Linked DNA regions of Stegostoma tigrinum. The protein of the gene in region 4 binds, or shares a complex with, the protein of the main gene of each other region. Links are inferred from orthologs where the notes say so. Each region holds a gene or a part of one and is shown on either strand. Other genes may lie near its edges. The genes, in order: surfeit locus protein 1, ndufaf1, smim20 and cytochrome c oxidase assembly factor 1 homolog.

Region 1 (7,790 bases), on a different chromosome or scaffold from region 4:
CAACTGCCTGGGACATAGACAGGCAACGCTCAGAGTCTATGTGACAGTGAAACAGCCGTGAACAACCCACCCCCACCTGAACAGAAACCATCACAAAGGAGGACAGTGTGACTCCCCTCCACCCCGAGGTTGTGGGGCCTTGGGGGGTGGTGATCAATGCGACTTAGCCTGGAGGAGGGCTCAGTGTGATCTACCCCAGGGGTGGGGGGGCAGGGGCCCACTGTTACGTACCCCGGGGACAGGGGCAGGGGCTCAGGGTGACTTATCCCGGGGACAGGGGCAGGGGCTCAAGGTGATTTATCCCGGGGCAGGGGCTCGGGGTAACTTACCCCATGGGCAGGAGTTCAGTGAGACTTACCCCGGGGGTGGGGCAGGAGCAGAGTGTGACTTACCCCAGGGGCAGGGGCAGTGGCTCCGAGCGAGTTCGTGCTTGCAGGTCCTTGATGAGCTGCAGCTTCCATTTCCGCCGCTGCACCTGAGCAGACAGTGAGAGCCTGAAAGAGCAGCAATAGGCCTCAGACCCCCATCCCCATCCCCTCCATCCATCCCTCCCAATCCCAATCCCCATCCCCTCCATCCAGCCCAACCCCATCCCCATCCCCTCAATCCATCCCAATCACCATCCCCATCCCTCCACCCCATCCCCATCCTCTCCATCCATTCCAATCCCCATCTCCCCAACCCCAGCCCATTCCCCATCCCTTCAGCCCATTCCCTCCATCCATCCCAATCCCCTCCATCCAGCCCAATCCCCAATCCTCCACCCCATCCCCTCCATCCAGCCCAATCCCCAATCCTCCACCCCATCCCCTCCATCCAGCCCAATCCCCACCCCTCCACACAACCCCCCCAACAATACCAACCCCATCCCCTTGATCCAGCCCAACCCTATCCCTCCACCCAATCCCCCCCCAACATCCTAATCCCCATCCCTCTACCCCATCCCAATCCCCATCCCTCCACCCAATCCCCTCCATCCCAACCCCATCCCTCTGCCCAATACCCCCCCCATCCATCCCAACCCCATTCCTCCGCCCAAACACCATCCCTCCATCCCATCCCATCCCCATCCTCATCCCTCCACCCCATCCCCTCCATCCATCCATCCCAACCCCATCCCTCCACCCAATCCCCTCCATCCATCCCGACCCCATCCCTCCACACAAGCCCTTCCATCCATCCCATCCCCATCCCTCCACCCAACTCCCCCGATCCATCCCAACCCCATTCCTCCATTCCAACCCCATTCCTCTATTCCAACCCCATCCATCCACCTAATTGCCTCCCACCACCCCATCCCCATCCCTCCACCTCATCCCATCCCTCCACCCAAACCTCTAAATCCATCCCAAACCCCTCCATCCATCCATCCATCCCAAACCTGCGCCAACCCACACCCAACTGTTCCCCTCTCCCGTGACCTGCATGTACCACCACTCCCAGTGGTTACCTGCCAGGTGCCCAGGCTGAAGGTAGTGACAGGAATCAGGAGCAGGGTCCACTTCAGGAATGAATCATCGGTCCCCGTGGCAACTGTGGTCGTGGAAATGTTCACCCCATTTCGTCTCTTAGCAACCCCTTCAGCAGAGACACAGAATTAACCCCGACAGGAATCAGAGGCCAAGACCTCTCCCTATCACCATCACATGATCCCCAGCCCCTCCCATCTCTGTCACCCCTCCACCCGCCCCCATCTCTGTCACCCCCTCCACCCGCCCCCATCTCTGTCACCCCTGACCCTGTGAGCTGTGTGCCTCCACCCTGGCCTCTCAAACACTCTCTGTTTCCCTTTGCTGTTCCCTTGGTGGCCATGCCCCAGCTGCTTGGCCCCCAAGCTCTGGAATTCCCGCCTGAAACCTCTCTGCCATTCTCTGCTTCATTAATGCTCTGAAAAATCAATCCTGCTTACTTGCCCTGACGTGGAGTACTGTGTGCAATTCTAGTCTCCCTGCTATAGGAACGATGTTGTGAAACTTGAAAGAGTGAAGATAAGATCTTCATGGATGTTGCCAGGGTTGGAGGGTTTGAGCGACAGGGAGAGGCTGAATGGGCGGGGGGCTATTTTCCCAGGAGCATTGGAGTTTGAGGGGTGACCTTTTTCTAAAATCATGAGGGACATGGATAGGGTAAATAGACAAGGTCTTTCCTCAGGGTGGGGGGAGTCTAATACTAGAGGGGCATAGGTTTAAGGTGAGAGGGGAAAGATATAAAAGGGACCTGAGGGGCAACTTTTTCCACACAGAGGGTGGTGCGTGTATGGAGTGAGCTGCCAGAGGAAGGGGTGGAGGCTGGTACAGTTACAGCATTTAAAAGGGTGCATGAATAGGGAGAGTTTAGGGGATATTGACCAAATGCTGGCAAAATGGGACTAGACTTATTTAGGATGTCTGGTCTGTAGGGGCGAGTTGGACCGAAGGGTCTGTTTCTGTGCTGTACATCTCTATGACTCTAATGTTAAACTCTGTTGATTGATTTTTCTGTGAATTATCTTGGTGTTTTTGCACAATGCTGAAGTTGGAATATTAATGTCAGGATTTCCAAGCTGTAACCACAGCTGCCTACCTGCAAGTTTTGCTCTGACATGGGGTAAGACCAGTTCAGTCCCAGGAAAAACTTCTGCCGAACAAGCATTCAAGAGCTGCAGGTGAAACAGAAAGCAAACATTATATAAGGCTTGACCCCTGATACTTCTCATGGGCCTCACTGATACAACAGCCAATATCTCTCTTTCAGTGTCACTTCACGGTTTAGTAGAATCTGCTCAGGAGAAGACCATTCAGCCCATTCAAATAAAGCCAGACCTTTAGACAGAACTATCTCATCACACAACAAACCTCAGCAAAATGCACGATTCCAGAAACTGGGGAAAGGCTGGCTTTTAGATTAGTGGCTGGAGGCATTGGATACTGCAAAGGCTATAGGCCCTGACAACATTCTGGCGATGACACTGATGATTTGTACTCCAGAACAAGCTGTTGCCCGAGCTGTGCTGTTCCAGTACGGGGGGGGTGTGTGGGGAGGGCGAGGGGGGTGGGTGGGGGGCGGTGTCGGGGTCTCTCACCCGGGGCGAACACCGGAGAATCCGCAGCATGTTCACCCGGAAGCGGAACTATGCCGTCACTTCCGGCTGAGCCCAACCGCGGCGCCACACTAAAGGGGCGGGGCCTCGCTGCCACGTGGTGTGTTCCTGCTCTGCCTGTGGCTTCTCAATGGTGTCTCCTGAATTACACTTTGTCTGTGTATCACACTGCAGTCCATTCGCCCCTTCCGTGTCCTGCTGGCCCTCTGAAGCTGCTAGCCTTTCAGTGTCGTGTGTGGTCAACATGTGACTGCGAACCCACAGTAGTGGGTGACCCTCAATAACTGCTGGTCTGGTTAGCAATGTCCTCATCCCAGCAGTGGAAAAGTAATCAATGAGATCATTGCTGATCTATGGCTTAACTCCATGGTACCTGCGTTTGGCCCTTTGGACCATAAAGGATGTTCTATTTTTCCATCCTCCTAATAGCTTGCTTAACAAAAATTTATCTCAGATTTTAAATTAATAACTGATCCAGCATCCACTGACATTTGAGACAGAGATTTTCCAAAGTCTACCACCCTTTGTGTATTGAAATGCTTCCTAGCATATCTCCTGAACAGAGATAGTAGGAACTGCCAATACTGGAGAATATGAGATAATCTCTCCTGAACAGCGTGGCCCTAATTCTCAACCCTATGCACCTGGCACTAGAATCAGCAAACAGTGAAAACAGTTTATCTTTACCCAGCTTGTCTTTTTTAAAAATTGTTCTTTTATTTATTCATTTTGTGGGATGTGGGCATCACTGGCTGGGCCCAGCATTTATTGCCCTGTCCGTAGTTGCCCTTGAAAAGATGTGGGTGAGCTGCCTTCTTGAACTGCTGCAGTCCATTTGCTGTAGGTTGACCCACAATGCCCTTAGGGAGGGAATTGGAGGAGTTTGACCCAGCAACACTGAAGGAACGGCGATATATTTCCAAGTCAGGATGGTGAGTGACCTGGAGGGTAACTTGAAGGTGTTGGTGTTCTCATGTATCTGTTGCCCTTATCCTTCTAGATGGAAGTAGTCCTGGGTTTAGATGCTGTCTGAGGATCTTTGGTGAATTTCTGCAGTGCATCTTATTGATAGTACAGATTGCTGCTCCTGAGTGTCTGTGGTGTGGGGAATGGATGCTTGTGGATGCAGTGCCATTCAATCAGTTGCTGCTTTGACCTGGATGGTGGCAAGCTTTTTGAGTGTTGTTGGGGCTGCACTCATCCAGGCAAGTGGGGAGTACTCCAACACACTGCTGACTTGTGCCTTGTAGATGGTGGACAGGCTTTGGGGAGTCAGGAAGTGAGTTACTTGAAGCAGTATTTCTAGCCTCTAACTTGCTTTTACAACCACTGCATTGATGTGGATTCTAGTTGAGCTTCTGATCAATGATAACAACCAGCGTGTTAATCTTGGGTGATTCAGTGATGGTGACACATTTGAATGTAATGGGGTAGTGGTTGGATTGTCTCTTATTGGTAATGGTCACAGCTTGCCACTTATCAGCGCAAGCCTGTGTATTGTCCAGATCTTGCTGCATGTGGACACGGACTGCTTCAGTATCTGAGGAGTCACGAATGGTGCTGTGCAATCATCAGCGAACATCCCCATTTCTGACCTTATGATGGAGGGAATTTCATTGATGAAGCAGCTGAAGATGGTTGGGCCTAGGACACTACCCTGAGGAACTCCTGCAGAGATGTCCTGGAGCTGAGCTGATTGACTTCTCATAATCACGACCATCTTCATCTATGTCAGGTATGATTCCAACCACTGGAGCATTTGCCCCCGATACCCACTGATTGCAGCTTTGCCAGGGCTCCTTGATGCCACACTCAGTCGAATGCAGCCTTGATATCAAGGGCTGTCACTCTCACCTCACCTCTGCATTTCAGGTCTCTTTTGTCTGTGTTTCAACCAAGGTTGTAATGAGGTCTGGAGCTAAGTATCCCTGGTGGAACCCAAATTGGGCATCACTGAGCAGGTGCTGCTTGACAGCACTGTTGATGACATGTTCCATCACTTTATCTGTTTATCTTTTCCTGTTAATATCTTGAAGACTTCAACTATATCATTCGTTAGCCCTCCAAATTCTAGAGAAAACAGATATAAATTGTGTACCTCTCCTTGTAACTTAACCCCTGAAGTCCAGGAGTCACTGTGTAAATGAAGTTTGGAAGTCCATGTACACATTAACATCATTATCCTCATTACCCATTCCCTGTTATCTGATCAAAAAATGTCAGGTTAGATAAGCACTATTCACCCTTAACAATTCTATGTTGCCTTTCCTCAATGACCCAACATTTGCCCAATTCTGTCCTGAACAATCGTAGTTTTCCCACCCGTGAAGTTAAAATGACCAGCCTGTAGTTGCTGCACTAATGGTGTAACATTTACAATTCTCCACCATCCCTGACTCTGAAGAAGATTGACAATTTATGACCAGTGCTTCTGCAATTTCCTCTCTCACTTACCTCAGTGTCCTCAGAGCACCTCACCCAGTTATGGTACCTGAACAACTTTAAGTGCGGACTGCCTGTCCAATCCCATCTCCTTATCAATCTTAAACCTTTCAAGTGTCTGAACAATCTCGTCCTTCACTATGATTGGGACAACCTCTTTTCTGGAACACAGTGCTGCTACATGTTCATTTAGCACAAGCCAGGACTATTGTCTCCATGTGTAAATCCTCTTTTTAGTCTCTTTTACTTTTTGTGTCTAGAGAAAACTTCTGCATTTATTTTTTTGTTCACTATCAGTCTCTTCTAGTACTCTTTGTTTGTTTCTCTAATTTGTTTTTCCAGTTCTCCCTGAACCTTCTACCCAACACTGACAACGACTCGTACAGCAAAACATGATTGTTATTAAATTGGTATATGTTGGCAGTTAGTTGGTGTGTCACAAATTATTTTCAATCTATTTGCGTTGCGTTATTCAAAAATAGTGTGCCCAACCTTTTCAAGCAACACATTTATTTGGCAATGTTCTCAGATAGAATCAAGAGACAGAAAAGCATGGAACATGAAACAAAATGAACAGTTTCAGAAGCACCGGACTCAGGTGCCTGTCATGATAAAGCAGTTTCCTTGGCCCCTGTTTATGCTAGAATGTGAAACATACATTCAACACAACTTCTTAAACATTTTAAATTTAATGAACTTTCCTCTCAGTGATCCTTCAAATGATAGATACACACTCAGTTATTTATTTTATTAAGTTGCACTTATTGTTGCTGGAAGTGACCAGAGGAGATGCTCCTCTTCAGAGTTTTGTCCTTTGTTCCTGGTTTGTCTGAGTGGAAGGGAATGTAGCCTTACTCCATCTCTCCAGAGCTGGGGTTCAGTGGGGGACAAACTGTTTGGTTTCACTTTTTACAGTTTATGACATTTGTGTTTCAGTTCTTGGTGCTTGAGGTTCAGAGTTTGGGTTCATGGTATTTTGGATTCACTGTTTTCCTTGGCTCTCTGGTACGTGTACAAAGCAGAACAGAGCATTCAGAAAACTCCATTTTACTTCAGCTGACCTTTTGAAAATAAATAAATGCAGATAATTTGTTTTTTTGCACACTAGTTTGATGCCTTCAGGGTCAGTGAATGCCTGGCCTTCAGGAATGCAAGTGAACTATTTAGTTAAAATCACAAGGAAGACTCCCTGACATGGAGCAATCAGACTGGAGCAACATCTTCAGACCAGTGTGTTGGGGAAAGCTCTGCCTGGAATAACACAGCTTGACAAAAAAGGCAAGTGAAGAATGTTCTTCACTTGCTCCATATTAACCCTCTTGTCAGATTAATCCTCTTCACATCACCGTAATGCTGCCCTGTGTTGATAATTATTGATCTCGTGTGCATTGAGAAAAATGTTTACAATGAGAAAATGGCACCGTTTACATTTCACTCACAGTCTAACAGCGTAATCATTGAGCTGGAATGACAGCTGCTCCCCAAGTTGTTGGATTTGAAAGTTGAGCTGCTGCAGATTTGTTAATATTGCCACTTCAGGCCTTTCAGATGTGATTACCTCACCACAATCCACAGCTTGACAAAAATATCAGTACATAGAAACCTGTGTGAATGAACAGAGTTAGCAGGAACTGCAGATGCTGGAGAATCTGAGCTAACAAGGTGTAGCGCTGGATGAACACAGCAGGCCAAGCAGCATCAGCTGAACAGGAAAGCCGACATTTCAGGCCTAGACACTTGTGAAGACCTGTCAGCCTTCCTGCTCCTCTGATGGTGCTTGCCCTGCTGTGTTCATCCAGCTCTATACCTTGAATGAACAGAATAACCACATTCAAAACTAATACCTCCCGACCAAGAATACAGAGGAAGAGTAGTCATGAGAGTGCATATGGAACTGTATCCCAGTGAGAGTCAGTGTGTGGGAACTGTACCCCAGTGAGGGTCAGTGTGTGTGGGACTGTACCCCAGTCAGAGTCAGTGTGTGTGGGACTGTACCCCAGTGAGAGTCAGTGTGTGTGGGGCTGTACCCTAGTGACAGTCAGTGTGTGTGGGACTGTACCACAGTGAGGGTCAGTGTGTGTGGGACTGTACCCCAGTGAGAGTCAGTGTGTGTGGGACTGTACCCAAGTGACAGTCAGTGTGTGTGGGACTGTACCCCAGTGAGAGTCAGTGTGTGTGGGACTATACCCCAGTGAGAGTCAGTGTGTGTGGGACTGTACCCAAGTGAGAGTCAGTGTGTGTGGGACTGTACCCCAGTGAGAGTCAGTGT
Region 2 (7,668 bases), on a different chromosome or scaffold from region 4:
TTTTACTGCCAATTCTTGGGGAAATTATGCTGAATGGCATTGCCTTGTGCTCACGCCAGCTGCGAAAGCCACGTAAACCTAGGGGAAGTTCTGCTGATCATTGACATGATTGTCAGACCAAAACGGGGTTTGTTTAAACACTGGCTCAATCAAGTTCTCCAACCTTGTCCAACCACAATGGATGCTGGTTGTCTTGGATTCGACCCCGACTAGACAGGAAAAACTTGGAGAACGGAATCTGGAAAAACACAAGAAACAGAGACGTTAGAAAAGTTTCCTTTGGGTGCACTGAGCGTATTGAGAGGCAGAGAGATCAACTTACTAAGGCTCCTGCACTTTCCAAACCTGTGACCTTTACCAACTACAAGGACCAGGGCAGCACATACATGAGAACGCCACCAACTACAGCTCCTCTCCAAGCTATACACCATCCTCACTTATAATTATATTGTCATTCCTATACTGTAACCGGGTCAAATTTCCAAGGACTGCAGTGGGTCAAGAAGGCAGCTCAGTCCCATCTTTGCAAGGGCAATTAAGAATGTGCAACAAGTTGTTGGCCTTGTTAGCAATGCTGACGAGCAACTGAAAATAATAAAGACTTGTGCAGAGAAAGCCAGCCCGTAGTTACAGCAAGTAATCAGGCAGTCTTTCCCCAATTGTACAGGGGCTAGTTACCATCATATCTAAAATTTAGTGTGCGGTTTGGGTCTCTATATTTAAGGAAGGATGTCCTTTATTGGAGTTGGTATAGAAATGGTTCACTACATTGGCACCTGGGTGAAAGGGCTGTACAATGATTAAAGACTAAGTTATGCTTATTCATTCTGGAGATCAGAAAAATGAGGGACGATCTCATTGAAACATGTAAGATTCTGAAAGGGTTTGATAGGGTCAATACTGAAAGATAAATTCCCTGGGAAGGGGAATCTGGAATGCAGGGAGCACAGGCTCAGGATAAGGGGCCAATTGTTTATGACTGAGACATGGCAGAATCTTTTCACGATTAGGTTTATGAAACGTTGGAATTTTCTGACTCCAGAAAGACACATCATTGCATTTATTTTCACTTATCTTTGTCCTGACAGATTACGGGGTGTGGATAGGAAAGTGCTGACCAGATTTCCTAAACTGAACTAGTCCCACTTGCCTGCGTTTGGTCCATGTCTCCCTAAACCTTCCCTGTTCACATACCTGTCCAAATAGCTTTTAAATGTTGTAACTGGGACTTCTTATACTGTAGTGTAGGAGGTTGAGGGGTGACCTACCACTTCCTCTGGCACTTCATTCCACATACATAACAGCCTGTGTTGGAGAAAGTTGCCCCTCAAGTCCCTTTTAAATCTTCCCCCTCCCAACTTGAAATATGTCCCCTGGTTTTGAACTCCCCCACCTTAAGGAAAAGATCTTTGCTAGTCACCTTTTCTATGACCCTCATGATTTTATTAAGGTCACCCCTCAACCTCCTACACTCCAGTGTAAGAAGTCCCAGCTTATCCAGCCTTTCCTTATAACTCAAGCCCTCCAGTTCTGGTAACATCCTTTTAAATCTTTCCTAAAAATCAGTTATAATCATAGGGAATGGTAAAACAGGCTCAAAAGGTCCCAACGGTCAATTCCTGCTCCAATTTCATTATGCTATGACTCTAATCCCCACCGAAGGGAGTAGAGGTCTCCCACAGAATCGTCCGGTATTGCCAGTCTAAATGAAGAGCTCAGGTCTTTGGAATGGGAGTGGTGCCTATTGAGGCTCCCCATTGTTCCACATCTAATACATGGAGGATTTTCCACTGGGATCCTGCAACCACAGGATAAAGCAAAACCTTCAGATAAATAGGGAGGAAAACCCATTCTACCTTCACATCCTGCCAATAGGGGCCTCCCCGGGTGAAGAGGAAATAGCTGTAAAGGTCATCCTTCTGATGGCTGAAGTACATCTCACTGCTGATGTTTACCATCCAGGGACGGCCATCCCCTCGGAGACGAATATGCAGCGTGTTGAAGTTTGTCAGGTCGTGGTACTTCTTGATGTCAAAGGCACCCTGTGGAAAGGGGCAGAAAGTCGATGTGATGGCAGTGACGGCACACTCACTGGGAACTCCACACGCACTGTGGGGAACTGTCCATGTGAGCTACATGGTTGTAGCGGGGGGGGTGGGGGTAAAGAGCTGAGAGGGTTCGAGCGTTAAGGGCAAGAGGGAAAGACAGAATGCTGAACAAGGAAAGAGGGCAGGTGAGTGAGGCACGGGTGGAGGAAAGTCCAGGATGGAGTGATGCGTGGGAAATGGAGAATTGAGGAGGGGCTCACCCTCTGTGAGGAGGGGCACGTGGAGGACAGGCGTGGAGGGAAGGAAATGTGTGGGGGGGGGGGGGGAAATGTGTGGGGGGGGGGGGGAAGTGTGTGTGTGTGTGTGTGTGTGTGTGTGGTGGGGGGGGACAAGAGAGTGTGTGGGGAGTGTGGGTGTGGTGGGAGAGGAGGAAAGAGTGTGGGGGGAGTGGGTGTGGGTGGGGTAACGGGCCCGGCACCTTGAGCTGGCGGCTCCTGAGGCTGCAGTAGCCGCTGTAGCGAGTCTCTCCGTCCCGGGGGGGCTCGGTGCGGAGCTCACCGCTCAGCAGCGCCGTCCTGCCGTTGGCCCCGACGCTGAGGCGGGCCCGGCTGCGGCCCCCGATCTCCCGGTCGCTGGAAACGAGCCAGTGGTCGAGGCTGCCGGCTCCCCGCGCCTGCCACAGGACGCGGTTCTGCTCGAGCAGTTCCTGGCGGAGGCCGCCGGGGCCCCGCAGCTTCTCCACCACCTCGGCCCACAACAGGCCCCAGTGCCGGCGCACGCCCTGCCGCCAGTCGCCGCGCCTCAGCCAGCTCCAGGGCGCGGACTGCGGGCTTGCCGGGGCCCCGGGACGCCGGTAACCGCGGACCCCGAACGGCGACGGGGACAGCAGCCCGCCGCCCGGCCGCGGCGGCGGCAACAACAACAACCTGAGGCGGCCCGCCATTTTGACCGCTTCCCAGGTAACGGGGGGGGGGGGAAAGGCCTCAAAAAAATCCCAGAAATTACCCGGAAAATACCGTAGTAAAAACACGCTCAACATAACCCCAACGATACATCTCTCTCCCCGCCGCCGCCAAATTATCCCAATAAAAAAAAACTCCAAAACGACCCCCAAATTGTTGCAGAAAATTTTCACTCGCACTCCCCCGGCAAATACCCCAGTAAAGTCCACAGAAACAGCCCGATGATCTCTCTTCCCACCCCACGCCCCAAATACGACAGTATACTCTTCCCCCACCACACACCTCCAAGATCACCACAGTAAAACTCCCAAATGCTCCCCAAATACTAGTATACACTCCCCTCAATTACCGTAGTAAAACTCTCAAATGCTCCCCCAAAATGCCAGTAAACCCCTCAAAATTACCACAGTAAAATTCCTAAATGCCCCTCTCCCAAAATAGCCCAGTAACCCCATCCCTCCATAATATTATACCCACCCAAATTATCACAGTAAAATTCCAAAATGCATCCCAAAAAAAATACCCGGTGTCCACCCCACCAAGAATGCTGGTAGACCTCCCCAAATTACCACAGAAAAACTCCCAAATGCTCCCCCAAAATATCCCAGTAATAGCCCAAATACCCCAGTATATCCCCAAAGTTACCCCTCAATCACTGTAAAATGCCCCCAAAATATTCGCCCCCATATATACTTCCCAAATGTATCCCAAAATTATCCCAGTGAGACTTCCAAATGTCCTCAAATAACTCAGTAAATGCTAAAGATACCCCTGTATAGTGAAGGGGGTTGAGTAGATTGGGCCTGTATTCATTGGAGTTTAATGGAATGAGTACATAACAAACGGGAGCGGGAATAGCCCATCTGGCCCGTTGAACCTGGTCCGCCATTCAATAAGATAACAGCTTGATATTGTCGTCAACTCAGATCTGCCTACTCACCATAACTGTTCCATCACTGTTGAAAATTTATTTTTGCCTTAAAACATTCAACGAGGTAGCCTCAACTACTTAAAATCCAAAAGACATCGTGGGCTGAAGGGCCTGTTCTGTGCTGTAATGTTCTATGTTCCAACTGCAGATGCTGTAAATCAGAATCAAAAACAAAGTTGCTAGAAAAGCTCAGCAAGTCTGGCAGCATCTGTGAAGTTCTGAGGCAGGGTCACCAGACCCTAAATGTGAACTCTTGATTTCTCCTTCACAGATGCTGCCAGACCTGCTGAGCTTTTCCAGCAACTTTGTTTTTGTTAGCCTCAACTACTTCACTGGGCAGGGAATTCCACAGATTCACAACCCTTTGGGTGAAGAAGTTACTCATCAATCTTAAATCTGCTTCCTGTACTTTGAGACTATGGAACTTTATCGAAACAGAAGATTCTGAAGAGACTTGGCAGGGTAGATGTGGAAAGCTTGTTTTGCCCTGAGAGTGTGTGTCTGGGAGTAGAGGGCATTGTCTCAATCTAAGGAGTTGCCCATTTAAAACAGATGAGGAATTTCTTTTCTCAGAGTAGCAAATCTGTGGAATTCTTTGCCACAGAGGGTTGTCAAGGCTGGGTTATTAAATATATTAAAAGCTGATAGAGACGGATTTATAATCAGTAAGGGAATTGAGGGTCATGGGAAAAGACAAGAAAGTGGAGTTCAGGATTATCAGATCAGCTACAAGGTTATTGAATGGCAGAGCAGACTCAATGGGCTGAATAGCAAACTTCTGTTCATACATATAATGGTTTTACAATTGATCTTGATCCCCACTAATCTCCTAAAAAGTCCTCCACATCCCCAGCAAAACCCTTCCCCTCAAAAAATCCTCCTCACCTCAATCCTTCAGTAATTCCTCCCAAGAATCCGACCAAACCTCAAATTCTAAGAAACCTATCATAAAACGGTCTTAAGCCCCAGACCTCAAGTGACCCCCTCCCTCAGAAATCCTCCTAATCCCCAACCTCCTAGTGTGGCCCTTTGAGCCTGCTGTACCATTCAATATGATCATGGCTAATTATTCAACTCAGTACCCTGTTCCTGCTTAGTTCCTGTACCCTTTCATCGCTAACATCTGAAAAATTCGGGAAAGAGAAATTACTCAGTGACTTGTCCACCACAGATTCGTTGCCCTTTGAGTGAAGACATTTTTCTTCATCTCAGTCTCAAACAGTCTGATTCATATCCTGAGACTAAGTCCCCTGGTCCTAGATTCCCCAACCAGGGAAAACATCCTTCCTGTATCTTGTCTGTTAGAATTCTCTACGTTTTAATCAGATCCCTCTCTAATCCTTCTGAACGAGTGAACATAGGCCCAGTCAGTCCAATCTCTCCTTAAAAAGGACAGTCCTGTCAGCCCCAGTATCAGCTGAGTGAACTGCTGCTGCACTCCATCTATGACAAGTATAGAAGAAATGAGACTCTGAAAGCTTGTGTCTTCAAATAAACTTGGACTATAACCTGGTGTTGTGATTTTTGACATTGTCCATCCCAGTCCAACACCAGCATCTCCACATCAAGTGTATCTTAGGCAGAGAGACCAAATCAGTGTGTAATACTTATTATGTTGACTTCCTGTCTCCTCAACCAATTGTCATCCATATTGTACAATGATTTCTGTATTCTGTGACCTCTCAAAGGTTAGGAAGTGAATATTCCAGGAACTTTAACATTTCAAAAATAACATGCTAAAGGGAAAAGCTGGGCACAGGTTGTCAAAATAGATGACACTAGGACAATTGTGAGGAAGGAGCTTGGCTCAGAAATGCAGTGAATAGACTCACCAGCATGTCGTGAACCAACAAGGGGCATATAGTACTGATGAGTGAAGATAATGGGACCCCCAACAGCTACAAAACAACTGGATACAGTATTAATCCAGGAATACTGTTCAGACAGACAGTCACAACACAGTAAAATTAAAATCTTCAAATACCCTCAAAATTGACTGCAATGTTTCTTAACCAGACTTCTGAATACCTAATACCACCTCTTCCTCCACTACATCGATGACTATGGGTGCTGCCTCGTGCTCCTACGAGGAGCTTAAACAGTTCAACTTTATTAACATCTTTCACCCCAACCTCAAATTTACCTGAAGCATCTCCGATACCTCCCTCTCCATCTCCTTCTCTGGTGACTGCCTCGAAACTGGCAGTTCATTCAAGCCTACTGACTCCCGTAGCTATCTGGACTACACCTCCACTTACCCACCCTCCATCAAGAATGCAATCCCTTACTCCCAGTTCCTCTGCCTCCACTACGTCTGCTTCCAAGATGGGGCGTTCCACTCATGCACATCCCAGATGTCTTCCTATTTCAAGGACCGTAACATTTCTCCCCCCAAACCCCCCCGGTGATCAAAAATGCTCTCAACCTCATCTCTTGCATTTCCTGCACGTCTACCCTCACATCCCATAACCTCAGTAAAAATAAAGACAGAATTCCCCCTTGTCCTCACATACCAACATCCCAACCTCTGCAATCCAGCGTATCATTCTCTGCCACCTACAATCTGACCCCCTAATCAAAGAGATATTTCTCTCCTCACCCCATCTGCCTTTCACAGAGACCACACGGTCCATGACTCCTTCATCCGTTCCACTCTCCTCACTAGCCCCACCATCCCCAGAACCTTTCCCTGCAACCACAGGAAGTGCTACACCCACCCCTACACGTCTCCCCTCACCTCCATTCAAGACCCAAAACAAACCTTGCATATCATACAGGGGTTCATCTGCACATCCTCTAACCGGATTTACTGCATTCCCTGCTCCTGATGTGGCCTCCTCTACATCAGGTGAGACCACATGTAGACTCGGAGACCGTTTTGTAGAGCGCCTGCGTTCCGTACGTGACAAATGACAATGCCTTCCGGTCACCAACCATTTTAACTCCCCGTCCCACTCCATGTCCATCCTGGGCCTCCTCTTGTGTCACTATGACACCACATGCAAACTGGTGGAATAATACTTCATATTCTGCCTTGGGAACCTACAGCCCCATGGCCTAAACATAGAATTCACCCGCTTTAAAATCTCTCTGCTGCCAGCCTCATCCCATGACCAAGCCTCCCCTCTCTTTCCTGCTTCCTCGACCAGACAGACCACAATCTGTCTAGCTTCGCTCCCACCCTATCCACACCATGCATCCCATTGACCAATCCCCACCACTTTCTACCTGCACTCACCTATCACCATCCCACCTACTTTCCTCAGCCCTACCTCTCCTCTCTATATTTATTTCCCAGCTACCTTCCCCCACCCCATCTCTGAAGAAGGGTCCTGACCGGAAACGTCAACATTAGTGTTCCTCTGATGCTGCCTGGCCAGCTGTTTTCCTGCAGCTCCACACTGTGTTGTCATGCTAACCGATTTTCTATCCATCTTAATACAACATCCCCTAATCCATGCACTCTAAATTTTACACGTTAATCTCCTATGTGGAAATTTATCAAAAGCCTTCTGTAAATCTAAATAAACCACATCTCTGGCTCCCCTGAATATTTCTACTAGTGATGTACATAAAAAATTCTAATAGATTTTTCTTTTATTTAGTTCTGTTCTCTCACAGACTAGGATGTTTCTGTTTGGCCAGCATTTATTGCCCATCCCTAGTTATAGAGTCATACAGCACAGAAACAGACCCTTCGGTCTCACCCCGTCCATGACGGCCATAA
Region 3 (6,968 bases), on a different chromosome or scaffold from region 4:
GAGCCCTGCTGAATCTTCACCATCTGCCCAGACCTCCCACTGACTGAGGACGAACGGTCAGTCCTAAGCAAGGGGCTCACCTTTGTCCCCCAACAACCACACATGAACGAATACCAGTCACGTTTGGACAAAGGCGGCGGAAAAACTGCTCTTCGCCTCCACGCTTACTTCTTCAACCAGCAGCCCAACCCTCCCGCCACTGACCCCTTCACCCACCTCCAACACAAGTCCTCCTCCTGGACACCACCCCCAGGCCTCCTACCCTCCCTCGACCTCTTCATCTCCAACTGCCGCCGAGACATTAGCCGCCTCAACCTCTCCACCCCTCTCACCCACTCCAACCTCTCCCCCGCAGAACGGGCAGCCCTCTGCTCCCTCCACTCCAACCCCAACCTCACCATCAAACCTGCAGACAAAGGTGGTGCAGTGGTAGTATGGCGCACTGACCTCTACATTGCCGAGACCAAACGCCACCTCTCCGACACCACCTCCTACCGCCCCCTTGATCATGAACCCACCCACCCCCCCCCACCACAGAGCACCAAACCATCATCTCCAACACCATTCATGACCTCATCATCTCAGGGGACCTCCCACCCACAGTCTCCAACCTTATTATTGCCCAACCCCGCACGGCCCGTTTCTACCTCCTTCCCAAAATCCACAAACCTGCCTGCCCTGGTCGACCCATTGTCTCAGCCTGTTTCTGCCCCACCGAACTCATCTCCACCTATCTGGACTCCATTTTCTCCCCTTTGGTCCCAGAACTCCCTACCTACGTCCGTGACACCACCCACGCCCTCCACCTCCTCCAGAACTTCCAATTCCCTGGCCCCCAACACCTCATTTTCACCATGGTCGTCCAGTCCCTATACACCTGTATTCCGCATGCAGATGGCCTCAAGGCCCAACCAGTCCCCCTCCACTTACACCCTCATCCGCCTAGCCGAACTCGTCCTCACCCTCAACAACTTCTCTTTTGTTTCCTCCCACTTACTACAGACAAAGGGGGTGGCCATGGGCACCCGCATGGGCCCCAGCTATGCCTGCCTCTTTGTAGGTTACGTGGAACATTCCCTCTTCCACACCTACACAGGCCCCAAACCCCACCTCTTCCTCCGTTACATTGACGACTGCATCGGCGCTGCCTGTTGCTCCCCAAAGGGGCTCGAACAGTTCATCCACTTCACCAACACCTTCCACCCCAAACTCAAGTTCACCTGGGCCATCTCCAACACATCCCTCACCTTCCTGGATCTCTCAGTCTCCATCTCAGGCAACCAGCTTGTAACCGATGTCCATTTCAAGCCTACTGACTCCCACAGCTACCGAGAATACACCTCCTCCCACCCACCCTCCTGCAAAAATTCCATCCCCGATTCCCAATTCTTCTGCCTCCGCCGCATCTGCTTCCAGGATGAGGCATTCCACTCCCACACATCCCAGATGTCCAAGTTCTTCAAGGACCGCAACTTTCCACCCACAGTGGTCGAGAACACCCTTGACCACGTCTCCCGCAACACATCCCTCACACCCCACCCCCGCCACAACCGCCCAAGAGGATCCCCCTTGTTCTCACACACCACCCCACCAACCTCTGGATACAACGCATCATCCTCCGACACTTCCGCCATCTACAATCTGACCCCACCACCCAAGACATTTTTCCATTCCCACCCTCGTCTGCCTTCCGGAGAGACCAATCACTTCATGACTCCCTTGTTTGCTCCACACTGCCCTCCAACCCCACCACACCCAGCACCTTCAGTTGCAACCACAGGAAGTGCTACACCTGCCCCGACACCTCCTCCCTCACCCCCATTCAAGGCCCCAAGATAACTTCCCATATTAAGCAAAGGTTCACCTGCACATCTGCCAATGTGGTATACTGTATCCATTATACCCGGTGTGGCTTCCTCTACATTGGGGAAACCAAGCGAAGGCTTGGGGACCACTTTGCAGAACACCTCCGCTCGGTTCGCAATAAACAACTGCACCTCCCAGTCACGAATCATTTTAACTCCCCCTCCCATTCCTTAGATGGCACGTCCATCATGGGCCTCCTGCAGTGCCACAATGATGCCACCCGAAGGTTGCAGGAACAGCAACTCATATTCCGCTTGGGAACCCTGCAGCCTAATGGTACCAATGTGGACTTCACCAGCTTCAAAATCTCCCCTTCGCCAACCGCATCCCAAAACCAGCCCAATTCTTCCCCTCCCCCCACTGCACCACACAACCAGCCCAGCTCTTCCCCCCACCCACTGCATCCCAAAACCAGCCCAGCCTGTCTCTGCTTCCCTAACCTGTTCTTCCTCTCACCCATCCCTTCCTCCCACCCCAAGCCGCACCTCCACTTCCTACCTACTAACCTTATCCCACCTCCTTGACCTATCTTCTCCCTACCTATACTCTCCTCTCCACCTATCTTCTTTTCTCTCCATCTTCGGTCCGCCTCCCCCTCTCTCCCTATTTATTCCAGCTCCCTCTCCCCATCCCCCTCTCTGATGAAGGGTCTAGGCCCGAAACGTCAGCTTTTGTGCTCCTGAGATGCTGCTTGGCCTGCTGTGTTCATCCAGCCTCACATTTTATTATCTTCAGTGACCTGGCTTCGTGGTCGAGAATTCCACAGATTCATCACCCTGATCAAAGGCAACTCTCCCCTTTCAGCCACACGTCCTAAGGCCGTGACCCTCACTCTGATGAAACATCATCAAATCCACAGGGGGTGAGGGGAGGGGGACACAGCAGGAAAGGGTGGGAGTTAGAGCCGGTAACTAGCCGTATCCGCACCGACCATCCACCTCCGCCGCAGATTGTTTCTCTCACTCACTGTACTGCTCGGTGTAAATCAGCGGCCGAAAGTAGATGGGGTAAAAGGCGGCTCCCAGCAGAGCGGCGAAGCCACCGAACAACAAAACCACCCGCGCATGCCCAGCCATGGCGCACGCTGACGGATCGGAACGGACGACTCTCCCACCCCGACAATTGCTTCCTATATCCGTCCCGGTACGCGCGTGCGCGAAGTATCATGTGACCGGGTGCGCGGCCGCCACCTTTGAGACGGGCAATTCCCACCGAATGGCATCTTAGCGCACTCTGCTCCACTGCGCACGCGCTGAGCCCAGTCTGCTTCCTTTCTGATTGTTGCTATCTCTTATTCAAATAGTTTGCCAATTTCTCATCCGGTGGCTTCATGTCATGAAGCATTTCTTGCTGTGGATACTTCATACGTTCAGTTCTCAGTCACCGAAAACAACAATGCCTGGCTCCTCCTCCTGAGGAATTATAATTAGATTTTACTGTCAACTGTTCTGAAGTACAGGGATGCAGGAGTACAGTGAAAAGTGTACAAAGTCACTATTCCCAGCATCACAGATAATGGGAACTGCAGAATCTGGAGAAACTGTGATAACAAAGTGTCGAGCTGAATGAACACAGCAGGCCAAGCATCATCTTAGGCACAAAGGCACTCGGTACAACATAATAAAATGTGAGGCTGGATGAACACAGCAGGCCCAGCAGCATCTCAGGAGCACAAAAGCTGACGTTTCGGGCCTAGACCCTTCATCAGAGAGGGGGATGGGGTGAGGGTTCTGGAATAAATAGGGAGAGAGGGGGAGGCGGACCGAAGATGGAGAGAAAAGATAGGTGGAGAGGAGAGTGTAGGTGGGGTAGGTAGGGAGGGGATAGGTCAGTCCAGGGAAGACGGACAGGTCAAGGAGGTGAGATGAGGTGAGTAGGTAGGAGATGGAGGAGCGGCTTGGGGTGGGAGGAAGGGATGGGTGAGAGGAAGAACAGGTTAGGGAGGCAGAGACAGGTTGGACTGGTTTTGGGATGCAGTGGGTGGAGGGGAAGAGCTGGGCTGGTTGTGTGGTGCAGTGGGGGGAGGGGATGAACTGGGCTGGTTTTGGGATGCGGTGGGGGAAGGGGAGATTTTGAAACTGGTGAAGTCCACATTGATACCATTGGGCTGCAGGGTTCCCAAGCGGAATATGAGTTGCTGTTCCTGCAACCTTCGGGTGGCATCATTGTGGCACTGCAGGAAACCCATGATGGACATGTCATCTAAAGAATGGAAGGGGGAGTGGAAATGGTTTGCGACTGGGAGGTGCAGTTGTTTATTGCGCGGTCCCCAAGCCTCCGCTTGGTTTCCCCAATGTAGAGGAAGCCACACCGGGTACAGTGGATGCAGTACACCACATTGGCAGATGTGCAGGTGAACCTCTACTTAATGTGGAAAGTCATCTTGGGGCCTGGGATAGGGGTGAGGGAGGAGATGTGGGGCAAGTGTAGCATTTCCTGCGGTTGCAGGGGAAGGTGCCGGGTGTGGTGGGGTTGGAGGGCAGTATGGAGCGAACAAGGGAGTCACGGAGAGAGTGGTCTCTCCGGAAAGCAGACAGGGGTGGGGATGGAAAAATGTCTTGGGTGGTGGGGTCAGATTGTAGATGCCGGAAGTGTCGGAGGATGATGCGTTGTATCCGGAGGTTGGTGGGGTGGTGTGTTAGAACGAGGGGGATCCTCTTTGGGCGGTTGTGGCGGGGGCGGGGTGTGAGGGATGTGTTGCGGGAAATGCGGGAGACGTGGTGAAGGGCGTTCTTGACCACTGTGGGGGGAAAGTTGCGGTCCTTGAAGAACTTGGATATCTGCGATGTGCGGGAGTGGAATGCCTCATCATGGGAGCAGATGCGGCGGAGGCGGAGGAATTGGGAATAGGGGATGGAATTTTTGCAGGAGGGTGGGTGGGAGGAGGTGTATTCTAGGTAGCTGTGGGAGTCGGTAGGCTTGAAATGGACATCAGTTACAAGCTGGTTGCCTGAGATGGAGACTGAGAGATCCAGGAAGGTGACGGATGTGCTGGGGATGGCCCAGGTGAACTGAAGGTTGGGGTGGAAGGTGTTGGTGAAGTGAATGAACTGTTCGAGCTCCTCTGGGGAGCAAGAGGCGGCGCCGATACAGTCATCAATGTAACGGAGGAAGACGTGGGGTTTGGGGCCTGTGTAGGTGTGGAAGAGGGACTGTTCCACGTAACAACAAAGAGGCACGTATAGCTGGGGCCCATGCGGGTGCCCATGGCCACCCCCTTAGTCTGTAGGAAGTGGGAGGAATCGAAAGAGAAGTTGTTGAGGGTGAGGACGAGTTCGGCTAGGCGGATGAGGGTGTCGGTGGAAGGGGACTGGTCGGGCCTGCGGGACAGGAAGAAGCGGAGGGCCTTGAGGCCATCTGCATGCGGAATGCAGGTGTATAGGGACTGGACGACCATGGTGAAAATGAGATGTTGGGGGCCAGGAAATTGGAAGTCCTGGAGGAGGAGGAGGGCATGGGTAGTGTCACGGACGTAGGTAGGGAGTTCTGGGACCAGAGGGGAGAAAATGGAGTCCAGATAGGTGGAGATGAGTTCGGTGGGGCAGGAGCAGGCTGAGACGATGGGTCGACCAGGGCAGGCAGGTTTGTGGATTTTGGGAAGGAGATAGAAACGGCCCGTGCAGGGTTGGGGAACAATGAGGTTGGAGGCTGTGGGTGGGAGGTCCTCTGAGATGATGAGGTCATGAATGGTGTTGGAGATGATGGTTTGGTGCTCGGGTGTGGGGTCATGATCGAGGGGGCGGTAGGAGGTGGTGTCGGAGAGTTGGCGTCTGGCCTCGGCGATGTAGAGGTCAGTGCGCCATACTACCACTGCGCCACCCTTGTCTGCGGGTTTGATGGTGAGGTTGGGGTTGGAGCGGAGGGCTGCCCGTTCTGGGTGGGACAGGTTGGAGTGGGTGAGAGGGGTGGAGAGGTTGAGGCGGTTAATGTCTCGACGGCAGTTAGAGATGAAGAGGTCAAGGGAGGGTAGGAGGCCTGGGGGTGGTTCAAAATCTCCCCTTCCCCCACCGCATCCCAAAACCAGCCCAGTTCGTCCCCTCCCCCCGCTGCACCACACAACCAGCCCAGCTCTTCCCCTCCACCCACTGCATCCCAAAACCAGTCCAACCTGCCTCTGCCTTCCTCACCTGTTCTTCCTCTCACCCATCCCTTCCTCCCACCCCAAGCCGCACCTCCATCTCCTACCTACTAACCTCATCCCACCTCCTTGACCTGTCTGTCTTCCCTGGACTGACCTATCCCCTCCCTACCTCCCCACCTACACTCTCCTCTCCACCTATCTTTTCTCTCCATCTTCGGTCCGCCTCCCCCTCTCTCCCTATTTATTCCAGAACCCTCACCCCATCCCCCTCTCTGATGAAGGGTCTAGGCCCGAAACATCAGCTTTTGTGCTCCTGAGATGCTGCTGGGTCTGCTGTGTTCATCCAGCCTCACATTTTATTATCTTGGATTCTCCAGCATCTGCAGTTCCCATTATTACTCGGTACAACATCTTAGGTTTTCCTCATTTTCCGCTTGGGGACCCTGCAGACCTCAGGACTCAATATCGAGTTCAATAATTTTAGGGCCTAAACTCTCCCACCTCCTCATCCTCTTCCTCTACCCCACACACCAAGTCTTGTTATCACATAGCTTTCCATTACACACTACCTATTGTTGGTTACTAACTGTCCCCATTAGCAGCTATTCACCCTCCCAGCCAGATCATCATCAACTTCTTCGTCTATCCAACAGCTCTTCTCTCTCTTTGGGCTCTATCCCTACTTATAGTTTACTGCCCCTCCCCCTCCCTATATTCTGCATTTAATCGTTTCCTAGCTACCATCAGCTCTAAGGAAGGGTCACTGCACCCAAAACATTAACTCTAATTTTTTTCTCCACAGATGCTGAGTTTTTCCAGCAACTTCTGTTTTTGTTCCTGATTTACAGCTTCCACAGTTCTTTTGGTTTTTACTCAATATGATTGAATTTGTTATAGTAGATGGGAGAGACTAGGACCCATGGGCACAGCCTTAGAATTAGAGGGGGTAAATTTAAAACGGAAATGAGGAGACATTTCTTCAGCCAAGAGTGGTGGGCCGGTGGAATTCAGTGCCACGGAG
Region 4 (7,807 bases):
ATATGGAAGACATGCGTTGTTCCTGGACAAATTCAACCAGCCTATCACCCCAGTCTATCCTTGGTCATAAGCAAAGTAATTGAAGGAGTTACCTACAGAGTCATCAAGCAGAAACAAAAACAAACGTTGCTAGGAAAACTCAGCAAGTCAGTAGCATCTGTCGAGAGAAAGCAGATTTAGTTCTGAATGGCTTTCTTTCCAAAGATACTACCAGACTTGCTGAGTTTTCCCAGCAATTTTTATTGTTGTTTCTGATTTTCATCATCTGCAGTTCTTTTGGTTTTTTGGAGCCAATCAGCACTGGCAAGAGAGATACCTGCTCACCGATGCCCAGCTTGGTTTCCAACAGCCGACTCACCTCCTGATCTCATTACAACATTGTCTGTAGTTGAACAAAAAACTGAGTTCCAGAGATGAGGAGAGAGTGGCCACCTTTGAATCAAGGCAGCATTTTATGGAACTTGGCTTCAAGGACCCCAAGCAAAGCAGGGGTCAATAGAAATCAGGGGAAAACCTTCTATTGGTTGAAGCCATACTTGGTACAAAGGAAGATGGTTATGGCTGCTAAAGGTCAATTATCTGGGTCCTGCACCATGTCTGCCTGGAGGTAATAGCCAACTATCATCTTCTACTTCAACAATATTCCCTCCACCATAAGATCAGAAGTAGGGATGTTTGCTGATAATTGAGCCACGTTCAGCACTATTCACTGCTCCTTGGATACTGAAGCAGCCAATGTTTGCGTGTAGTGGCAAGTAACATTCATGGCACACAATGACCAAGTCCAGTGAGAGGAAATGACCATTTTCATTTGATGTTTAATGGCACTATCCTCATTGAATTCCTACCAATTTCTAATTCCTGGGGTTACCATAGACCAGAAACTGAAGTGCACCATCCAGAGCCATATAGCATGGAAACAGACCCCTCGGTCCAACTTGTCCAAGCTGACCATACATCCCAATCTGACCTATTCCCATTTCCTAGCATTTGGCCTATATCTCTCTTAAACCCTTCCTATTCATATGCACATCCAGATACCTTTTAAATGTTGTAAATTGTCCCAGTCTTCACCACTTTCTCTAGTAGTACCTTACACACACCACCCTTTCAGTGGAAAAAGTTACCCCTCTCACCGTAAACCTGTGCCATCTAGTTTTGGACTCCCCCCTAGGAAAAAGACTGACTGTTCACCCTATCCATGGCCCTCACGATTTTATAAACCTCAACAAGATCACCCCTCAGCCCAAGAATCTCCCAGGAACATAAGAAGTCCCAGCCTATTCAGCCTCTCTCTATAGTTCACACTCTCCAGTTCTGACAATATCCTTTTAAGTCTTTTCTGCACCTTTTCAACTTTAACAACACCCTTCCTATCGCTGGGGAATCAGAATTGTACACAGTATTCCAAAAATGGACTCACCAATGTCCTGTAAAGCTGCAACATGATGTCCCAACTCCAATACTCAAGGTTCTGACCAATGAAGGCAAGCATGCAAATACATTCATCACCACCCTGTTTGTCTCATGCCCCACTTTCGAGAAACTATGCATCTGCAACTCTAGGCCCCATTGTTCAGCAACACACCCCAGGGCCCTACAATTAACTATACAAGTCCTGTCCTGGTTTGCCTTGCCAAAATGCAACACCTCACATTTATCTAAATCAAACTCCGAATGTCATTCCTTGGCCCATTCAATCATAGTTCTGCTGTACTCAGCATTCTTCACTATCCACTGCATCACCTATTTTAACATCATCAGCAAACTTATTAACCATACCTCATATCCACATCCAAACCATTTATACAAATGAGAAGCAGTAGGCCCAGCACCAATCCTTGAGGCACACTACTATATTCCCAACCATGCCCTAAATTCGTCTACCTTAACTCTGAGGTTTCTTGTTTGGAGACAAATGCAGTTTCGTTTGTCAATTTTACCCCGTTATCTTGTCTGCCTTGACTATTTGACTTGCTCCCCTTACCTGCTGTGCAAGCCTCAGCCTTTTCTTATGGGGGGAGGGGAGGGTTGAGTGGGAGAAGGGATACCGAAACTAAAGTAGTAACTACACAAAGAAACGATAGACATTACCGGGGACTTTAGCTGCTCCTTGCAACAGAACGACCAAAGGGAAAACGTGCAATTTGACAAAACTAAGCGTCCTAACGAATATTCAATTTAGAAAAAAGTTATGATGCTGGAAACATTCATAGGCAGCATGTACTGAAGATTAAACCGGAATTATCTGTTCCAGTATTGCAGTGAAGAGAGGGCGCGACGACCTTAAATTTAATCCTGTCTCTTTGCTACTAATGTTTCGTCTCGAGTCTGCAGCAACAATGAAAATGCTATCAGATTGCTCACATTTACTCACATTGAATAACCGCGACTTCCCAACATGGGCAGCGCCATCTTGCCAGGCTCAAGATAGCATCATTGACACTCTCGCGACATTGGTTAAAGCCCAAAAAGGTATCAAAATATGGCCTGAACGCTTTATTTAAAACAGGTTTTTTAAAAACTAAAACATGCGAATCAACGTCCGTAACAAACTCAAAGTGACATGTTAGAATTCATTTCATCCAATAAACCGATGCAGTCACTCCTCCTTGCCAGTGAACCTAGACTAATTTCTGAGGAAGTGTCACCGGACCCGAAACGTTGACTTTGATTTTTTTTTCCGCTCACAGATGCCGCCAGACCTGCTGAGCATTTCCAGCAGCTTTGGTTTTGTTTCAAAATAATTTCAATTAGGTAATGGGTGAGCCTCCCATCTTATTCGCCGCGTTATTTTCCCAGTCACAGGGCTGAACGTGCAGCTGGAAGATGGATGTACAAGGTTTTTTTTGTGGACAACGATAGAACAAGATATTGCCTGGTGCGACGAGTCTCAGTTTCGTTACCTTACTGTCGTTGCAAAGTTGAGAAATAATGACAACCGTGGCATGTGGGCTCTGATGTCACTGGAATACGGTCTATGGCATACATGGAGGAGGTCATGTGGTTCAGGACACGCCTGCGCATTGTCCCGGGGAATGAAACTATTTATGTAACAGTGTGTTCGAGCCACTCGGGAGGTCGGTGTGAGAATTCGCATTGGGTATGTTTATTGTGGTAAAGAGACAGGACTTTGTGGTATTCTTTTTAAAACGCAGGCGTTCAAGAGATGTGGGATTCTAGGTTAAGCCATCTCTATTAGCCCCTGAGAAACTGATGCTGAGCTGTTCTCTTGAACTGCTGTAATCTGTGTGAAGGTTAGTACACCCATAGTGCGGTGAGGAATGGAATTCCAGGACAGTGACCCGGTAATAGGGAATGAATGGTGATGTAGTTCCACGACAGTAGCTTGATAGGGAACTTGCAGGTGGTCTTCTGTGTTGCCTTTTTAGTGGTACAATCGACGAGGTGTTTCGGGCATTCTCGTCAATGGAATGTAGAAAATGTTGGTGCAGCGCAAGCTCCCAAAGACACGAGTGTTATGCTGACAAATTATATGTTTACCCATATTGATTGATGGGCAAAAATTGGTGGGACACCCAAGAACCAGTGATTCATTAAGGGAAAAGGATTTTTTCTGACATTTAATTTTTTTGAGGAAGTAATGTGATATACAATAAAGAAAATGCACAGAATCTTGTATATCTGGATTCGTAAAAAGGCGTTTGATAAAGTAAGTGTTGAAGTTTTGCTGATGGACGTTACACAGTGTTAAAGGAAGTACGGTGTAGTGATAGCTCCTTTTTGCCTCTGACCTAAAAGACCTAGGTTTAAGTCTCATTCCAAGATCTGATAACCAATGCTGGTGCATCCATAACATGGCCAAACTATCCTTTGACCAGAAACCAATCGCAAGTCATAAGAATGGGAATGATTCCTGGTAACCTATGTGAGAGAAAGGAAAATTGGACCACTAACACAACACTGCTCGTTGTGCTGGTACTCTGAGATGTATGTAAAAGTGCATGTTGATACAACAGTTTGGACTTGCTAGAAACAAAGGTAAAAGTGGAATCCATAATAGTTTGAAAAATAAAAATGGATAAATATTGGAAAGGATAAGGGAACAGGACTAAGTTGACAGGCCTTATGAACTGCTTGACCAAGGTGGGAATGTGGATGAAGTCACACATTATCTAAGCGAATGGCCTATTCCTGCCTTATGTTTTTTCATAGAGCTGAGAGAAGCACCAAAGGCTGAATACCTTCCCTCAGTGGTATAAAGTTCTATGAAATAAAGGAAGCTAAACTTGAATTATATGTTCCTGCCTGACTGGAAACAAGATTTTTTTTGATCTGTTGGATATCTGATGCAAAACATGGAGCATCTACAGTCTAATTGTTCTTTTTTTTTCTTGAAATGTATTAATCAGATATTACAGGTGTTTTGAGTTCCTACCCTGTATTAAAGTATGTTGATAGTACCTGTAATACTAAAATTAGTTTTAACTAGTGCTAAATTCATAATAAATTAACCTGTAATGTAATTTATTAAATTCCTCGAGTGCTTGGATAATACTTAATAATAACTAAAGGGAGGAACTGAGAGGGCTGACCTTTCTTATCAAGCTGCAATACATTGCAGTAAACCACTTGCACAGTGTATCTTGCTTCTCCACTTCCCTTCAGTATCTTTTCACTGTCCTGCACTAAACTTGATGCATCTGCAAGTACTAGATATAGACCTGAGTGCAACACTCGTGTGGCATTTGGGCATTTCAAAAACAGACAAGTTATTCCAGGAACCTGCAGTTAAATTGCTTATTCATGATGAGAAGCACACTGAGGGTGAAAATCCATGACCTTTGTGGTATGTTTCTACCATGAACTAAACAGGAAGACATTAAAAGGTTGGAAAGTTAAGCCCGGGCCCATGGAAAACTATACTTTTTAAATTATTCATTAATGATGTGTAAGCCTCACTGGTGAGGCCAGCATTTATTGCCAATCCCTAAGTGCATTTGAGAATGTGGTTAGCTATCATCTTAAACCACAATTTACATGGTTTAACTATGCCCACAGTCCTGCTAGGTAAGGAATTCTAAGGATTTTCTGACTGAGAGGTGAATATATATGGTGGCCGAGGTCCAAGTCAGGCTTGTATGTTGTCTGGAGGGTGGGGATTTTGTCGCGAGCACGTTTTGAATAATGGATCGCTGTATGAGAAGGTAGAGATCCAGATATTTCCCAATTTCACAATGGAGAATTAAACTAACTGGCAGAGGCCATTTTAGCTACTTGAATACCTTCACTGTTGCTGAGTCAAAATTCTGGAACTCCCTATAACAACAATGTTGGTGTGTCTTTATCGCACATGGACTGAAATAGCTCAAGAAGGCAGTTTACCGCCACCTTCTTGGACGACCTGAAAATGGAAATTTTTTGTTTATACTTGTGTGATGAAGCCATTGGTTGCCTGAAGAAAGGTGAGAGATGTAAGGAGGATGCTAACAGTGGCAGAGACACCGATTGCTCAATGTTCCAGCTTCTCAAGGACAGGTAGATATCGGCAATGCGTTGCTCCAAGTAAAATGCCACAGAGTTGTAGGGGGCAGTTTGAGTATGAGATGCGTTAACCTGTGACTCCACTTAAAGTTCCAACTGGCATTAGAATTAGGTAGGAAGTTTTAGTTCACTTCATAAGCAATGATCATATAAATCATTTCAGATTAATTTTTAATTTATTCTTAGTCAAGAAAGTGGTCAGGTCAAAAAGAAAATGTAAACTGCAGAAACACAGATGCTGACGCAGCAGACAGATACTTTCTGTGGAAAATGCAGTGTGGCTGAACCAGTATTAATCCTGAGGCCCTATTTGGAAGTGGAATGAGAGAATGATGCTGTGTCACACCGAGAAAGTTGCAGCAATGGAGTTTAGTCAAGGATGGCAATGAAGCACAGGTCTTAGACAGAGATAGGACATCAGTTGGGAAGGTAGGGAATGATGAGACCATGGGTAGCAGGTGCCTTGCACTTTTGGAATATGTTTTTTTTTAGAAAAAGATGTTTTTCCTAAATGGGAGAGATAATGGGAACTGCAGATGCTGGAGAATCCAAGATAATAAAATGTGAGGCTGGATGAACACAGCAGGCCAAGCAGCATCTCAAGAGCACAAAAGCTGATGTTTCGGGCCTAGACCCTTCATCAGAGAGGGGGATGGGGTGAGGGTTCTGGAATAAATAGGGAGAGAGGGGGAGGCGGGCTGAAGATGGAGAGAAAAGAAGATAGGTGGAGAGACTATAGGTGGGGAGGTAGGGAGGGAATAGGTCAGTCCAGGGAAGACGGACAGGTCAAGGAGGTGGGATGAGGTTAGTAGGTCGGAGAATGGGGGTGCGGCTTGGGGTGGAGGGAAGGGATGGGTGAGAGGAAGAACAGGTTAGGGAGGCAAAGATAGGTTGGACTGGTTTTGGGATGCAGTGGGTGGAGGGGAAGAGCTGGGCTGGTTGTGTGGTGCAGTGGGGGGAGGGGACGAACTGGGCTGGTTTAGGGATGCGGTGGGGGAAGGGGAGATTTTGAAGCTGGTGAAGTCCACATTGATACCATTAGGCTGCAGGGTTCCCAAGCGGAATATGAGTTGCTGTTCCTGCAACCTTCGGGTGGCATCATTGTGGCACTGCAGGAGGTCCTTGATGGACATGTCATCTAAAGAATGGGAGGGGGAGTGGAAATGGTTTGCGACTGGGAGGTGCAGTTGTTTGTTGCGAACCGAGCAGAGGTGTTCTGCAAAGCGGTCCCCAAGCCTCCGCTTGATTTTCCCAATGTAGAGGAAGCCACACCGGGTACAGTGGATGCAGTATAACGCATTGGCAGACGTGCAGGTGAACCTCTGCTTAATGTGGAATGTCATCTTGGGGCCTGGGATAGGGGTGAGGGAGGAGGTGTGGGGGCAAGTGTAGCATTTCCTGTGGTTGCAGGGGAAGGTGCCGGGTGTGGTGGGGTTGGAGGGCAGTGTGGAGCGAACAAGGGAGTCACGAAGAGAGTGGTCTCTCCGGAAAGCAGACAAGGGTGGGGATGGAAAAATGTCTTGGGTGGTGGGGTCGGATTGTAGATGGCGGAAGTGTCGGAGGATGATGCGTTGTATCCGGAGGTTGGTGGGGTGGTGTGAGAGAACGAGGGGTTTGTGGCGGGGGCGGGGTGTGAGGGATGTGTTGCGGGAAATACGGGAGACGCGGTCAAGGGCGTTCTCGATCACTGTGGGGGGAAAGCTGCGGTCCTTGAAGAACTTGGACATCTGGGATGTGCGGGAGTGGAATGTCTTATCGTGGGAGCAGATGCGGCGGAGGCGGAGGAATTGGGAATAGGGGATGGAATTTTTGCAGGAGGGTGGGTGGGAGGATGTGTATTCTAGGTAGCTGTGGGAGTCGGTGGGCTTGAAATGGACATCAGTTACAAGCTGGTTGCCTGAGATGGAGACTGAGCGATCCAGGAAGGTGAGGGATGTGCTGGAGATGGCCCAGGTGAACTGAAGGTTGGGGTGGAAGCTGTTGGTGAAGGGGAGAAAATGGACACCCCGCATGGCCCGTTTCTATCTCCTTCCCAAAATCCACAAACCTGCCAGCCCTGGTTGACCCATCGTCTCAGCCTGCTCCTGCCCCACCGAACTCATCTCCACCTATCTGGACTCCATTTTCTCCCCTTTGGTCCAGGAACTCCCTACCTACGTCCATGACACCACCCATGCGCTCCACCTCCTCCAGGACTTCCAATTCCCTGGCCCCCAACACCACCTCTTCACCATGGATGTCCAGTCCCTATACACCTGCATTCCGCATGCAGATGGCCTCAAGGCCCTCCGCTTCTTCCTGT

Evidence for each region.
Region 1: cytochrome c oxidase assembly factor 1 homolog (region 4) and surfeit locus protein 1 share a complex: the UniProt entries of both Homo sapiens proteins name them as parts of the MITRAC (mitochondrial translation regulation assembly intermediate of cytochrome c oxidase complex) complex. The link is inferred for Stegostoma tigrinum from reciprocal best matches to the Homo sapiens genes COA1 and SURF1.
Region 2: cytochrome c oxidase assembly factor 1 homolog (region 4) and ndufaf1 share a complex: the UniProt entries of both Homo sapiens proteins name them as parts of the mitochondrial complex. The link is inferred for Stegostoma tigrinum from reciprocal best matches to the Homo sapiens genes COA1 and NDUFAF1.
Region 3: cytochrome c oxidase assembly factor 1 homolog (region 4) and smim20 share a complex: the UniProt entries of both Homo sapiens proteins name them as parts of the MITRAC (mitochondrial translation regulation assembly intermediate of cytochrome c oxidase complex) complex. The link is inferred for Stegostoma tigrinum from reciprocal best matches to the Homo sapiens genes COA1 and SMIM20.

The regions. Positions count from the first base shown.
Region 1 is NC_081382.1:44,016,196-44,023,985, forward strand, and holds the start of surfeit locus protein 1, read right to left. Parts: upstream 3,018-7,790; 5' UTR 2,901-3,017; coding exon 2,835-2,900; intron 2,639-2,834; coding exon 2,563-2,638; intron 1,579-2,562; coding exon 1,451-1,578; intron 476-1,450; coding exon 393-475; intron 8-392; coding exon 1-7. UniProt on the Homo sapiens protein: Component of the MITRAC (mitochondrial translation regulation assembly intermediate of cytochrome c oxidase complex) complex, that regulates cytochrome c oxidase assembly.
Region 2 is NC_081363.1:84,965,847-84,973,514, forward strand, and holds the start of ndufaf1 (complex I intermediate-associated protein 30, mitochondrial), read right to left. Parts: upstream 3,018-7,668; 5' UTR 2,992-3,017; coding exon 2,527-2,991; intron 2,234-2,526; coding exon of another isoform or gene 2,210-2,233; exon of another isoform or gene 2,183-2,209; intron 2,043-2,182; coding exon 1,857-2,042; intron 239-1,856; coding exon 164-238; intron 1-163. UniProt on the Homo sapiens protein: As part of the MCIA complex, involved in the assembly of the mitochondrial complex I.
Region 3 is NC_081354.1:89,191,663-89,198,630, reverse strand, and holds the start of smim20 (small integral membrane protein 20), read right to left. Parts: upstream 3,008-6,968; 5' UTR 2,943-3,007; coding exon 2,834-2,942; intron 1-2,833.
Region 4 is NC_081355.1:101,831,552-101,839,358, reverse strand, and holds the start of cytochrome c oxidase assembly factor 1 homolog, read right to left. Parts: upstream 2,981-7,807; 5' UTR 2,907-2,980; intron 2,882-2,906; coding exon of another isoform or gene 2,834-2,881; exon of another isoform or gene 2,819-2,833; intron 2,482-2,818; exon of another isoform or gene 2,378-2,481; intron 1-2,377. Other genes in the region: blvra (biliverdin reductase A), read left to right, coding at 2,981-3,103. UniProt on the Homo sapiens protein: Component of the MITRAC (mitochondrial translation regulation assembly intermediate of cytochrome c oxidase complex) complex, that regulates cytochrome c oxidase assembly.